Arabidopsis thaliana: one gene and its partners. The protein of the gene in region 2 purifies or fractionates together with the protein of the main gene of each other region. This does not show direct contact. Each region holds a gene or a part of one and is shown on either strand. Other genes may lie near its edges.

What was found. Proteins that work in one complex are often made in the same cells at the same time.
Region 1: the proteins of alpha-ADR (region 2) and AT1G10730 fractionate together in Arabidopsis thaliana (co-fractionation; one large-scale study listed by BioGRID). This does not show direct contact.
Region 3: the proteins of alpha-ADR (region 2) and AT1G47830 purify together in Arabidopsis thaliana (affinity purification with mass spectrometry; 2 studies listed by BioGRID, with this or other methods). This does not show direct contact.

What each region holds. Positions count from the first base shown.
Region 1 is NC_003070.9:3,563,334-3,568,631, reverse strand, and holds AT1G10730 (Clathrin adaptor complexes medium subunit family protein), read right to left. Parts: upstream 3,376-5,298; 5' UTR 3,170-3,375; coding exon 3,041-3,169; intron 2,901-3,040; coding exon 2,754-2,900; intron 2,648-2,753; coding exon 2,585-2,647; intron 2,475-2,584; coding exon 2,298-2,474; intron 2,224-2,297; coding exon 2,120-2,223; intron 2,028-2,119; coding exon 1,920-2,027; intron 1,796-1,919; coding exon 1,699-1,795; intron 1,605-1,698; coding exon 1,507-1,604; intron 1,407-1,506; coding exon 1,265-1,406; intron 1,190-1,264; coding exon 1,067-1,189; intron 952-1,066; coding exon 853-951; 3' UTR 526-852; downstream 1-525. Other genes in the region: AT1G10740 (alpha/beta-Hydrolases superfamily protein), read left to right, coding at 1-16, 85-289; AT1G10720 (BSD domain-containing protein), read right to left, coding at 4,186-4,671, 4,765-4,952, 5,053-5,298. UniProt on the Arabidopsis thaliana protein: Subunit of clathrin-associated adaptor protein complex 1 that plays a role in protein sorting at the trans-Golgi network and early endosomes (TGN/EE).
Region 2 is NC_003076.8:7,585,311-7,590,229, forward strand, and holds the start of alpha-ADR (alpha-adaptin), read right to left. Parts: upstream 3,013-4,919; 5' UTR 2,717-3,012; coding exon 2,591-2,716; intron 1,849-2,590; coding exon 1,717-1,848; intron 1,366-1,716; coding exon 1,240-1,365; intron 1,027-1,239; coding exon 964-1,026; intron 882-963; coding exon 784-881; intron 704-783; coding exon 496-703; intron 298-495; coding exon 226-297; intron 146-225; coding exon 53-145; intron 1-52. Other genes in the region: AT5G22785 (uncharacterized protein), read left to right, coding at 4,333-4,395, 4,406-4,534; AT5G22780 (Adaptor protein complex AP-2, alpha subunit), read right to left, coding at 4,790-4,919. UniProt on the Arabidopsis thaliana protein: Subunit of the adaptor protein complex 2 (AP-2). Adaptor protein complexes function in protein transport via transport vesicles in different membrane traffic pathways.
Region 3 is NC_003070.9:17,612,504-17,616,898, forward strand, and holds AT1G47830 (SNARE-like superfamily protein), read right to left. Parts: upstream 2,484-4,395; 5' UTR 2,282-2,483; coding exon 2,279-2,281; intron 2,191-2,278; coding exon 2,092-2,190; intron 2,016-2,091; coding exon 1,965-2,015; intron 1,693-1,964; coding exon 1,519-1,692; intron 1,051-1,518; coding exon 991-1,050; intron 885-990; coding exon 843-884; 3' UTR 526-842; downstream 1-525. Other genes in the region: HXK3 (hexokinase 3), read right to left, coding at 3,740-4,066, 4,145-4,226. UniProt on the Arabidopsis thaliana protein: Subunit of the adaptor protein complex 2 (AP-2). Adaptor protein complexes function in protein transport via transport vesicles in different membrane traffic pathways.

The DNA.
Region 1 (5,298 bases), on a different chromosome or scaffold from region 2:
TACAACCCGGGATCTGGTAAGTGAATCATATATGACCTAATGACGTTGATGGATTGAGAAAATCTGAATACCTTGTTGTTGCAGGTATTATAAGATAGTGGAAGCAGATCACATAATGTTCATAGTGAACAGAGAGAGAGCTGGTGTTCAGTTTGATCTGATATACGACAGCATCTTCCAACGTTGCAGGAAACATGTTTTTAGAAAGATTCCTCAGACTCTCCCCAATCAATCTCCTTCTTCTCCTCGTTCATCATCATCACCCAGAATAAACAACTTTGTACATTGATCACATGCAAAAAAAAAATGTTTTAGGGTTGTTACGTTGAGGGCTTAAGTTTTTGTTTAGGCTATTTACTACTAATACAGATTATTCATTGTTCTTCTTGTTCTCCTCTCGATTTGTTGTACTGTAAAATATATATCTTCCATTTTGAAAATTATAATATTTGTTAGTTCGTCATGTTGCTCTACTGCCTCATCAAAGTTATTTATATAGTGAACTCTTACAAAATTAGCGGACGTTTAAGGAAAACCATTATTGGTGTAGTCACCCAGACTGCATGCATTTTCCATCGGTAAACGAACTGAAAGAACCCCAAATAAAACTCGATGTTTAACAATTGTAACCCAATATATATATAACTGTCGTATATAGTTTTACAGAAAAAAAAAAAAAAAAAAGAGAACGCCATGAAACAATTCACAAGAAAATGGCTTCTAAAACAACCTTCACCGCAAATTCTATCAGCTAATATATTTCAATCTTTTTCCTTTTCTCATTGATCTTCCTCTGCTTTGTGTCGTTGACAATGGCTTAAATAATAGTAAAAACAAAAAAACGATCTCATTTTACATGAGTCTCAGTTCGTACTCACCAGCCATGGTTATATATCTCACCCATGGATGTGCCTGGTACCCACTCTTCTCAATGATCTTCAGGTATCGAACCTGCAATACCCATAATTAACACACATCAGGTTTGTTTGCCTTCAGATTTCAATGCAGTAATATAAAAAGAATGTGATCTATATGATAATAACGTATCATTGTGAGTAATACCAACCTGTATTCCTGAAACTATGAATTTTGGGATCTCAAATTTGACACGGATTGGAGCTTTTCGCTCAGGCGTTGCTTCCTCTGCGGCTATACTTGGAAGATGGAAATCTGCTTTCAATGTATGCTCCTACATTGTTTCAAAACTTAATGTAAGCATTCGACTTTACATGGTCAAGTGTTACATTAAACTATAAGAACTTACCTTGTTCCCATAGAAATATTGTATCTTCCAGACCAGTGCATCTTTCTCAGGAGCATATGCGGCCGACCCGAGAGATGTTCTTACATCGGGGTTATACGCATCAGTTGGTACAGGTAACTCAATCTCAACACTTGTTGCATAGCTGCAGAAAAAAGGAACTCTTATCAAAACGCGTTAAAGGATTCCAGTATTTCAGTATTTCAGGTAATGGTTAAACGTGTTAAGTAACATTTGTTACTTACCTTCTGTCCTTGAATTGGCTTCTAGCTTTTACTAGCATCTCAACACGACTTCTGGAATGCCTCTCTATATGCGCTTCCACCCATATAAGAGGCTTTACCTGAACAAGTATTATGCGAAAATAAGATATATCATGATATAATTCGTTTAAGAAGGGGACAAAACCATTTCTGCAATATTACACATTCTAAAACCTGAGTACTGAGTCTATACGTCATAAGATCAAAAGATCCATCAGGTGGTATGAATGATATTGTCCTGTCGTTCTCAAAACGGGCTAATCGAACACACCTACATTTTGAAGAAAGAGACGTGTAAAAACTCAAGTATTCAATAATTTTTCGAGTTAGTAAAAAAATTGGCCTCGATAGAGTGACTGTCAAAGAATGTTTAAAGTTGCAAGAGATTAACGTACTGATGAAATTTGATGTCCTCCAAATCAATGGCTTTTCCTTTTATTGCTCGTCCCTGTGCCTCCAACAATATTCTGTCATTCAAGCCTAGCTTACACTCTGGCATTCCACTGTAATAACATGGATAAAGAAGCAGAGAGTCAAAGAGGAGGGACTTTTGATTTTAAATGCGTTGGTTAACTAGGGACACTAGAGAACGCACCTCAAGTATGTTCGCATCTTCAAAGCTCCAACGACATCAGACCTGACAATTTGCCCATTACTGTTCACAAGGATATTTACACTCTCTATCACATCCAAGAAAACCTGGAAAACAAAACATCAGTCTGCAAACATTAGAAAACCTAAAACAATTGAAAAGTAAAATGTTGAGCACCTACTTCGTTTTTCTTAAACTTTAACCCCTCACTCCTCCATGAGACAGAATTAGTGACAGCCATTGGAGGTCTCTGTGTAACTTCCATTCTATATGCATCAGTCTTGATGAATTCACTAAGGATTCTTGCCTCAGTAAACTGAGGGTAACCAAAGTCCATCATCTCGTCAAGTAACTCATACTGCCAGTAACATAAGTAAATGTTTTTAGAAATAACTTTCGCCCACACATATCCACCTCATGCAAGAGGGAAAACAGTTATAAGAAGAGATGTGAGAAGCATTATCTTACCACTACCACAAAGTTATCTCTCAAAGATTCTTCCTCTAACTCCTCGAAGTAATGCTTGAAGACCTACGATCAGTATAAGACTGTAACATATGAAACAGTGCCGTTCTTTTTTCTTCAAATTCAGAAAACAGATGGAAATGCAAAAAACTGAATCACTAGGGATGCTTACATCGACTACACGATGCAAGAAGAAGAGAAGACTGGCAGCATTACAGTTCTGTCTGGACGCTATCATGAGGTAAATGTTACTATGCTGTACAAACATGTAGGTCACGCCATTATCATAAGCAACCGGATCATTTGACTGTGAATCACCCTGAACATATTAGACGAAAGTAAGCAAACCCGCAGAGAAAACACTAGTCATTTAGTCATAAGTATAACGATTCTGATCAAATTGAATCCTTTTAAGCACTGATCAAGCTTGTTCATTAGTTCCAAATGTTAAAACTTCACCTCTGTCTCGATGAGTTTGGTGAAGAAACGCTCAGCTTGAGCAGCGGTGACATCGCCACGGTAATCGCGCCACACGAGAACACGACCTTTGATATCGAGCAGAAACAGCGCTGAGGCCGCCCCTGCCATGTTCTTCTTCTTCTTCCCTCCTTGTTTTCTCAAGGATTTGCCGAATCAGATCGATCAAACAGACGGATTATTAATTCCAGAGAGATCTGAAGAATTTTACGCTTCGCCGGAGCTAAACGATCATTTGCTGCAGCTGAGTGGTGGTTCGTCGATAAAGTCACTTATTCACGACCTGACGAATTGGTTCTGACATAAAAAACGACGGGAGACTCGAGAAAGAAAGAAAAGTGCAGCTTATTAAATTGGGTTCAGCTTTGCATTATTCTGCGAAACGACATCGTATTACCAATCTTACTTGGTTTTTCTTTCTTTCTCTGTATTAGGGAAGCAATCTTACTTACGAAGATTTTAGATTAATTTTTATAAATCTTAAACTAATAATACCAAATTAAAAAAAAAAAATGAAAATTTGAATTGAATAACATCAGATTCTATATAATATTTTTAAATCACTAAAACTCTATATAAATCACAAACCAATAACACCCCTTAATTATTAACAAAGTACTAGCATTTTGACAAATGTTATACATTTCAACATAGATTTGTTTTTTAGTTAAGTCATAGGAGTTATTTTGTTAATTGATGATAGCTCCTCCTGGTTGTTCCCATTTTCATACATACAAATCCTCAACATAAGCAATAAAATCCCATATGATTTTCCAATCCAATAATGATTCTAACAGTTTGTTACACTTGAATTCACTTGCGCCATTCTCTATCAATTTCTTTTAAGTTCCACGCGAATGAAATAGTGCTTTTCAATATTTCATTACATTTGGCGAGAGAGAACATTACAATGAAATTGCAGTGTCAAAGTAAATCTTCTGTACATGTTTCAATCAAAACCTTTTTCTTTCTTTCTTCCTTCTCTTTGAGAGCAAACATCATAAATCCACAAAACAATCAAACTCACCCAAAAGACTTCCACGATTTGACTCAGCACACAGTACTTATGTTCAATTCTATTGATTCGATCTCGTGAGGCAGGGCAAAGCAACAAGCCAGATGATGTTTCATGTTCCTTTTTGGTCTGTGCCCTTTGATGTAATCTTAGACTTGAGTGCTAAGCTACTTATATCGTCGTCTCCTTCAAGATCACTGAAAGAAACATCATCCTCATTCACTGTAAACATTGGAGCCCAAGAATTAGCAGAATCTTCTTCTTCTGGCCAATCATCATCATCATCATCAACAACATCTTTAGATGTTTGGCTAAGGCTTGCACTATTTTTGTCGTTCTTCTGGATTGGTTTTTCCTCAATAACAGCTTTATCGATGAACTGAGCGTTTTCAAACCCGTGTTCAAAATCGCGATACATAATCGAAGGAGGTTCAAAAGCATATATTCTTGGAGAAAGAAACTCAGGAGGAGCATGGTTGTAGTAATTAGAAGTTGATGGTGTAATATCTTCTTCCTCAAGAATCATATCTCTACTTTCTTTTGAAGAATGTGTCTGATTCTGAAGCTCTTTCATCCACAATGCTCTAGCTTCCATCACCTGCAAAAGCAAAAGGATTTTGTTGAATAAACAACAGCAACAACAAAGAATCATTTTGACTCAAGAAGAGATTGAGATTCAGGTTTTTTTAACCTGTGGAGAAGACAAAAGATGAGCATCGTGTTTATTGAGCCTTGAAAGAAGAAGAACAAAATAGACTTTCCAGAAGTAACCAACACTCATATGACATGGACAAAGCTCTATTCTCAATGCAGCTAACCTCGGAGCAAGACGCTCAATAGCTAAAGCATGACCTCTTTGAGCATCACTCATTTCCAAATCTACATTAGATAAAAGTTGAAATAATCAAACTTTTGATATGCCTATAAGTCAAATCAATGAAGACTAATAGCGAAAGACTTGACTCAATGTATACGTTACCATCAAGATCTTCGTCAGGATCAAGAGGAAAATCCAACCAAGTTTCTGGATGCATTGCTATGTTCCTCGCAAATGCTAGCACTTCGTCTGTAAGAGCAACCGCAGCGATCTCTTCTTCTTCTTCTTCTTCTTCATCTGTTTCCTCTTCTTCTTCTTCCTCATCCTCCGGATCATTGCCTTCTGCCAATTTTTCTTCTAAATCCCAGCTCCTAAACCTAATTCCAGTCTCCGGCGTATCACTTCCAA
Region 2 (4,919 bases):
CACTAGTAAAATTCATGGTATCAACATTTCCCCAGCTATCCGACGAACTTACCAGGGATAGAGCTTCAAACAGCACAGCATGAGACGCATTGTTTTTATTCACATTTTTCACAACATCTGTCCCCATCAATATTCGCTGAAGGACCTGAAATTTCCATGAAATGCCATGCCATGAGAGGAAATTCAAAGACATATATTACAGATTTACACATGAAAATATTGAACCTCAAACAGAGCTTTTCTGGTACTGGGATCTTCAATGGTCGGGAAATATTGAAGAGCCCTCATTGCCTTAACCTGTACTAACCAAAGATATATAAGTATCCACGATATCTTTAACTGAGTAACAAAAATACACCAAAGCTGGGCCAAGCCTCTATTTTCATAAGCTAATTTCACATAAAATGTTTAAAATGCACAGGATTTGTGAAAAGGATGCGATTAAAGAATATTTAAGCTATTAAACAAGAGTGAATAAGCCGAGTTAAGTCAAACCTGGAGCCAAGGAGATGGGATGCCATAGTATGTGTACTCCTGAGGAACATCTTGGTTCCTAGCAAGGCGTTCTAATATTTTGACACATTTAGGTAGACAACTTGAGTACGCCTCATGATTATTAGATACCAGAGCTACAAGAAGACTCGTAGAAGACGTCAAGACACCAAGATCTCGTTCATCCAAAAGTTGTGCCATACGATCCGCCCTGGAAGTATACGACAAAGAGAATATGAAAGATGCACTAGTAAAATCAAAGAACCAGTAACCCCACAGTGTTATACACACCAGCCATCCACGTTGACAGCATCAGGATTTTTTCGGAATAAGCGCAGTAGGCACAGTGCTGCTTTTTTCCTTACAAGAGGTCTGCAACTACTAGAAATCTGCAGCAAAGAGACCCCATAACATAATATGTTTAGTAATATTGGAAAAAAATATAACCTCTCATCTTTAGGAGTCACTTACAAGTAGCTTTTGAACATCAGGTGCCAATGATTCAGCAAAATCCCTTCCACCGATATTTCCAACCTACAGGAGAACGTAAGCATGGCAAGGTAAGAAAGCTAGAAAGAAAGGACCAGTTTCATGAAGTAAGTGGCTCTGAATCGTGAAATGATAGAGCACAAAAGACATAATGTACCAAAGACTTCCATTAAAACAGTCATTTAACAACATCTTATAATCAGAAGAACCTAACTATGCTCTAAAATCTCAATACAGGGTGGACAAAAGACCACATACCAAGGTCAGTGCTAGGCACTGGAAAGTCTCATTCCGACCAATAATATCGTTCCGCACTGTATTTATTGCCAACTTCAAAAAGTCATGGTTCTCATTGAGCAAGCAAGATGTAACAATGTAGCCAACCTGTAATCATGGATGAAAAGTTCAATACCTGCAAATTAGTTAAGGAGCATGAAACAATATAAATTGGAAATACAAACCCTTGAGATACAATGCATGGTTCTGGTTAAGAGTTTCTAAGATGTTACTAAGTAACTCGTGCTTATAAGTAATTGTCTGCAATACTTTCCCAGGTCAAGTCAAGTTGCAAACGCATGAAATGGTATCTAGATCTAACTGTGTGATCTTCAATGAAACTTTCTTTGTTTCAGCTTGATCAATAGAATATATTTCAGCAAACACCTCCATCTATTATCTTCTCCTAGCCTTACAAAGAAAAATTTCTTTGTTTGAGCAAACAAAACGTTGGTTTACCTGCTTTTCTGGATACTTTGGCGCAGATATAAGAGAAACCGCCTCCATATGGCCAAAATCCACATCGTAGCCTAGCATATGTATATAAAGCATTTTCCAGACATATTTCTTCTTTTTATATGGTGTCAAAACCTGCAAAAATAAAACAGAATGTCAAGTAATCAAAGAGTTCTTGATTAATTCATTTCTAACATGAACCCCGAAAAAGAATAAGTTTAATGTTGGTCCAACTGGAAACACATGGATCCACTACAGGCCTGCTACAGCTCTGCTACGTGTAAGATGGAACAAGAATTTCACTCCAGAAGTTCTTACAGCAACAAAGCTTAATCTACTTCGTAATGAGCTATTCAAAATTTTCCGTGACCATGATTTAATTTCTTAGACCATCACTACATAACCGAATTTACTGCCAGACCATTCTTTTCTTCTAGTTCCTAAATGTCATCATATATTCAGTAATGAAATTCCAAGTTGAAAGCAATAGTAGTGATGTTTCAAAAGGTAGAATAATTGCTAATCTACAAGGATTTGAGCTAGCTATACAACGGCAACATTATACTGCCTATCTATTTTCACAATTGGTGTTAAATCAAAATTTATTGCCTCAATCCGATAAAGTAAGAAACTACAAGCTCCAAAACTATCCACTCGGCATGTGACCAGTGACTGTATCTTTGTTTCATCTACATTCTTATCTAACTCCCTAATCAACCTAATAGCTCTAACATTCGATTGCATTGGCATTGCAACTGCGAAGGATAAATCTCCAATATCTCTAATAAACCAAAACCTCAGCGGATACTCGACACTGAATTACCTCTCTAATGAGAATCAAAACATAGAAAATAGAATGGAGAGAATTGAGAGTAACCTTCTCATTCTTGAAGCATGTACGAATGTTTCCGAGCTCCTTATCAACTCGTAGTCTCTCCGCTTCCTTGTTCTGGCAATTACGAACGTCGCTGATAAATACGGAGAGACCTCTCATTCCGGTCATGGTTGAACCAAATCCTCAAATCCACCGTGCTCCGCCGCCTCACACGGCGCAGATCCAAACTCGCGGCACCGGATCTAACTACGAGATAAACCACAGACTAAAGCTGAAGCATAAGCAATTCGAGAGAGGTGAGATCGAAATCCCAATCTAGAAACGGAAAATGGCACCTTCAATCGAAGAAATTCAAAAGGAGAGACTGATCTTTGGAGAAGAGAGACACGCCTGCGGGAGAGAGACGAGAGACGACTTTTATTTTTCTTTATTTACAACTTTGACTATTCAATTTTGTGTAATTCAGTTTTTGTCTGTTTTGAAATTGGAATCCGAAATTGACCCGTCGAAAAACAGAATTAACGCGTCTAGACATTTGGACTAAATTTGAGGATTTATAAGTTTGCGTAATATTTTGTTAAAAAGTGTATCCTTCTGCCTTTTTGGGTAATATTTATTTACTGCTGTTTCTGGTTTCACTTTTTCATTTATTTTTAAAATGACTGTTTTCTGTCGCGGTCAATGCATTCAGTTGTAATTCAATGTACCATGAGAAAATCCTTAACAAAAAAAATGTACCATGAGAAAATCCGGTTATGAATTCGGGTCAGGTCAGGTCATGCAATGGTTTAGCTGGTCCCAACTTTTTTTTTTTTTTTTTCGTCAGACATGGTATTTGTTGGTATTAGTGGGAACGAAACAAATGGTTTATACGCAGTGCTGATTTGATTATTTTTTGTTATGAGCATTTTATAATTTTACTCAATGTATTATGAAATCTTTTGAATAAAGATTTTAGATACTCTATATTTCAGATAACAATTTTGCTAGAATCATTGCAACCAAATTACTCTGGTGAATAGGAAAGTATTGTCACTACTCTCGTTTTTGAAATACTAAATGTGTCTCATAACAAGATCATAATCTACAAGACGATGAATAGGACGAATTGTTGAGCTAGAAAAGCAGTGACGGCGATAGCGTATGCTCCTAGGATGTTGTTGTTTGGCAGTTTGAGTATCGAACTCGTAAACTTATATAACTAATGGAAGCACCAACCATTAAACTACAAGGCTTTTATATGATTGTGATGATAAAGCATCAGCTTGCTGGGCTTTAGATTTGGGTCGGCCCTGCTTATTGAACATTTTTAGTTTTATGGAAGATATTGTCCCTTTGCGTTAGCAACATCGGCTGATTTCTTAGGTATTTCGAACAGCTCCAATATCTCGGTTGAGTTTTTCTTCAAGGCATGACAAATTTTAGGGTATTCGATACTTTAAGAGAAGTTGCTTCTTCAACTTGAGCGACATTGATGTTGGTGAAGCAAACTTGCAAAAGTCAGACTTACTCAAATTTTGCTTAATCACTCTTGTTTCACAAGCCCCGGATCTAGGGTTCTTATATTTTTTTTTATTTGCAAAATTACAAATGATATAGTAATATAAAAAAATCATACTTTTGTCAATTACAAATTATGTAGTAAAAACAAAAAAAAATCATGCAAAAATTGATAAAACAGCTTTTAAATCCATAAGCAGTTTGTAAGAAAATTAAAAATAGTAAAAAAAAAATTTTCTTTCAATTATATTCTTCAAAGTAATAGTAAAAATCTGGTTGTATATATGTCGGTTGAATGTCCCACCAAGGCCAAGTCCCCACTCTATTCACACCTCAAATTAGATCAGGTTTTTACAGGTGAAATGCTATGCGTTGGATGTGTTTTTGCAATTTCCCCCCTTTATGACAACATTAAAATCTCTCAATGTGAAGGCTGGTGCGAAAAAACAGACCTCCCATCAGAAAACTCATGGAGAAACAGATTGAAAATATATAGGCACAAGAACAAGCTGATACAACCACTGACCTCACAATACAAATGTTCAGAATGAATGCAAAATTTCTTACCTAACGCAACCCGCCCGCTTTGGATAAACGGCACAAATATAATCAAAACTAGCTTTTTTCTCTCCCTTGGCTCTACATTTACTCTCCCATCATTCCATATTTTCGCCATTACATTCTACAATAACAGAAAACAAACTTTTCGACATGTGCAAGTAATCTTTTATCCCAATGAATTTAAAGTAAGCCAGCAAGCATAGCTCCTGGATCATCAGCTAAAGCCGCTGGGCTAGGCGGTTGAACTGCTGGTGATGGTGCTGGACCTGCTGCTGGAACTAGAGCTCGAGATCCCATTGGAATAGTAATT
Region 3 (4,395 bases), on a different chromosome or scaffold from region 2:
TGTTTATCTAAAGAAGAATATGAGGACTTGGGTTAAGTTATGTTCAAATGTTTGCATCTGCTAGGTGGAATTTAGTAATGGTGTTGTTGAATTATTACTTAAGGTTGGTGATTGCATTGCTTTGAATGCTCATTGAGTTATTGAAGGAAGCTCTTGGAACTTCAGGGAAACTGTGATGACACTAGAGAACAGAACAAAGGTATTTTGGGCATTAGATGCAGGACTGATTTGGTTACATTACGTATTACTGGTTAGTGTTAATGTTCATGATTGATTCAGGAACTCGCAAAGTCTCATGTTTGACGCTTAGTAAGTCTAACATGTTAGAGTTTAAGAAAGAGTAGGGTTGGTGAGAAAACGTCTCATGTTCTTCTGTTTTGTCGCTGAGATGTAAGAGATTCTGTGACCTGATGAATCTTATCAGTGGAGGACAAAGAAGGATTTGGGTATCAGCACAGACCAGTCACTGGCAGAGATAGCAGAAAATGGTTTAGTCGACATGATCATAAAGGATTTTAAAGTTGTCACGAGAAATCGATTCATCACATTATGTTGATAATTCAACAGTTACTATCAATATTAGTTATATATCCTCTCAAAGCATGTGTGGTATCATAGTTCTACGAAACAAATAGTACATCACTAGTTGAAATGAAAATCTCACAGGTAAACAAAATGTTGGATGAGAGATCTTTAGCAGAATCACTCTAAATTCTTCATTCACAATGTAAACGCTACACCATTGTCTAACAACTCAACAAAGTATAGCAAATCTCTGAACATGCCAAGAAACATCTGGCAGGTACGCAGTTAACCAAGTAGAATGTGATTCTTAACCGTCATCACTGTAGCTTCTCGAGTTCTGACATCCTTTCGATGATTGCCTGCGAATTAAAACAAGTCCCCAACATTTAAAAGTTTAGCACTTGAGCAAGAGCATGTGTGATACATTTAAGTGAAAGAGAGAAGCTTGAAACAAAAATTTCACACCCTTTTGCTTGTTTCTTGGAGCTCCCCAGCAAGAATGAACTCATCGAGTATCAAGTACACCTTTCAGTTTAAGTCATAGGGAACTAGTTAGCAATTATTAGAGTACAAACACAGATCAAATCTAGAAACACTGTAGCATCTGCATATATAAACACAAATAGGGAATGCTTTTCAAGGCTGCATACAGATATTTATCTAATGGGTCACGATGGTCAGCTTAGAATTGGGACAAGTATACTGAGAAGAAAACGAAACTAGCTTTTGATTTTCGCAAACAAAAGCTTAGTTTGATATACCCTTGTAAGCTTAATATATGAGAATTCTCAGAAAACCATTTTAAAACATCTGGGAGAATTCACTTAACTAGTTCAAAACTTGTAAGCATTCAATACTCAAAAGACAAAGCAAAATCCCAGTGTTTATTCAAAACCAGTTGTTGTACAGCATCACAACTTAAAGTTATGAATCCAACGAAGCAGTTCCAGAAGCTATTTACAAAGGATAAGAGTAAGTAAAGAGGTTAAGTACCTTGTGGAAATTAAACACCAAATCTAGCTCACAAACATTGCTGAAGAAATGGTCCAATATCTCCACAAACAAATGGATACTCTCCAAGTAAGCCAACTCATTGTCGGTTATATCCACGCACACAGAGAAAAACAATCCAGCATAACGCCTGTATATCACCTTGTGTGTTCTAAACTGAAAATAGTTGCAAAACAGTTTCATCATTCATACATTAACATTCACAATGACACCCACTCACATAAAACGCATTCCATATTATTGTTTCTCAATCACACTTCTACTACATCTCGAATAATCTATCTCCAACAGCCCTAATCTTGTTATACAAAACCTAAATCAGGTTCAAACCTAAGACAATTTCAACAAGCCAATGCTTTTTAAAATCAATCAAATTATACAAAATCTGATTCAAGAATGATAAATTTTACAAAATGAAAACAGCAAACCTCAACGAAGTTGGTGAATTTGGCGTCGCGATTCACCACTAATCTATGAACCTGTGAAAAGAATTAAGAATCAGAAACCTAAAAAGGATAAAAAAAGGAAGATGATAGAATTTGAAATGAGTAGTACCTCGTATTCGACTTTGTGTTTCTCGGATTCTTCGAGAGGGACATAGTATTTGGCTAGACGAGTCTTACCTTGTCTGTTCTGCAATAATATGAATCGGATCTGGACAAATTGGGAGAGAGGTGGATCAGAATTGAGCGTCAGACATGAACAAAGGAAAACAAAGTGGAAGAGAAATAAAGCAGTGTACCATTTTCTCTGCAAAATCTAATGGAGAATTCAGGAGAAATCGTGAGCGATCAGAGGAATTTTCTTCTTTCAGATCTCACTTTGAATTTTCACGACCTTTGTTGAAAACAGGTTCGTAAAGCAGCCAAACTATCCAGTCAAAAAGATGGAGTTTTTAAGAAAAAAATTGATTTAGGAGGAAATAGAAAAATAAGCTTGGAGCTAGAAAAGATTTGTGAAATAGAATTTTTGTTTTAAAAATTTGATTTAACTACAACTTTTTTTTTCCAACTCAATGAAATATTATGTGTTTCATATTCGTATCCTCTCAAAACTAGTTACAAATCTGTTAATTTTTAAATTTTAATTGGATATTTTATGAAAGTTCAAAAAATATGATAAAAGTTTTATTAATTTTTTTTTGTTATAAGGCTTTCTTTTTTTTTTGGTGAAAATCAGAAGAAAAACCTTAATCGAACATGTCGTGACACGATAGTTCAGACTTATCATCCCTAAATATCGAAATCAAAGTATTCGGGAGAACATCAAATGCATGAAAATCTAGAAACAATGAAAACGCATGTAATTTGTCAATCCATTTGTGAAACGGTTGATCTTCCTTTATACGTGAAATATTAGGACTATCCAGTACTGCAAAACCTTTTTGAATGCTAATAAATTGTATTATCCATTTTGGATATCCATATTGCAAATTTTAATATTTGTAATTAACTTTCCCTCTAACATATATTAAATTTACTTACAAATATCTGCATATTTTTAATGGGATCAAAGATGATATAGCAAATCAAATAAGAGTACTACAAATATTTTGCCTTGCCCTATATTTAATTATGACATTGGGTTTGATTAGTAAGATCCAATAGATTTGTTTGCAAACAAAACAAAACAAACAGCTTTGGAGATTACCAATCATATGAGCGGTTGGAAAAAGTGATTAAAAGAGAGAAAAAATGGACGATTGCCAACTCTAAAAACTAAACGTTTGGTGGTTAAAATTTATTTGTTAGTTAAAATGATATTAAAAGTTTTCAAAAAAAATAATATATATTACTCTAGAAAAGAATCTTTAAAACTATTATCTATATTTAATTTATTGATTTATACAAAGCAATGGTACTAGTCAGCCGTTTGTTACTAAACATAACTTATCGGTTTGTTTAAACAAAGTTACAAATCTAACTCATTGATTAGACATAATTCATAACTTCTACTTCATTTAGAGTGTTTCACAAACCAAATAGGGATAGATTTATATCCAAAATTATAAATCGTATCAAAATTTTCACTTTGGAAGTAAAAGGATTTTCTAGTGTTGTACGAAGTGGTCCAAGACATAATCTTCTGCTAGTTCGTTGCTCCTCTTTACAATCTTATTGATATTGATATGATATCTTATATAAATGTACACAAACAAATGGACCAAAAGTCCTCCTATACTCATGAAGTAGAGGTCCAAGTACTAGTAAATGGAGTTAGTGGCCGCCAAAAGAGCAGCACCGAGCCCAGACACGTCTTTGGTATGTTTGATCGCAACGTGACTTGCAAGCTTATGGCCAAGAAGCTCGACTAGTGCGTCTTGCATATACTGTCGATATTGTGGGTACTTCTCATACAGTGCACCGTCCATAGCCACAACGGTTCTTTTACCTGAACCCATTCTTTTGGTATCTTTTTCAATCTTCTCCAGAATTGCCACTATACCAGCTCCTGCTAGACGCCCTCCGCGTTTCACTACTGTGTCACACACTTCCACCACTCTCCTCCTTGCATTCATATTCGCCTCTACCTATTTTCAATAGCTCGATCAGGTTGGTACAGTTATCAAATCTATGGATGTGATTAGCCTTATACATTAACAACTTACATCTAAAAAGTCGTATAGGATTGATCCAACATCCCGAAGATCATCTGTATTGTCCTCTTGCATTTTGCATAGATGCTCGGTCCTTTACAAAATTTACAAAAAAAAAAATAATGAATAAAACTGTCAATCAGAATTTACAACACTTTCCTAGCTAATCAAGTTATTAAGGTATTGAATCTAGGGGTGAGCATATATAGACCGCACCGAACCAAAGCTGAACCGAAATGTTTGAGCATATTGGTATTTCCTGG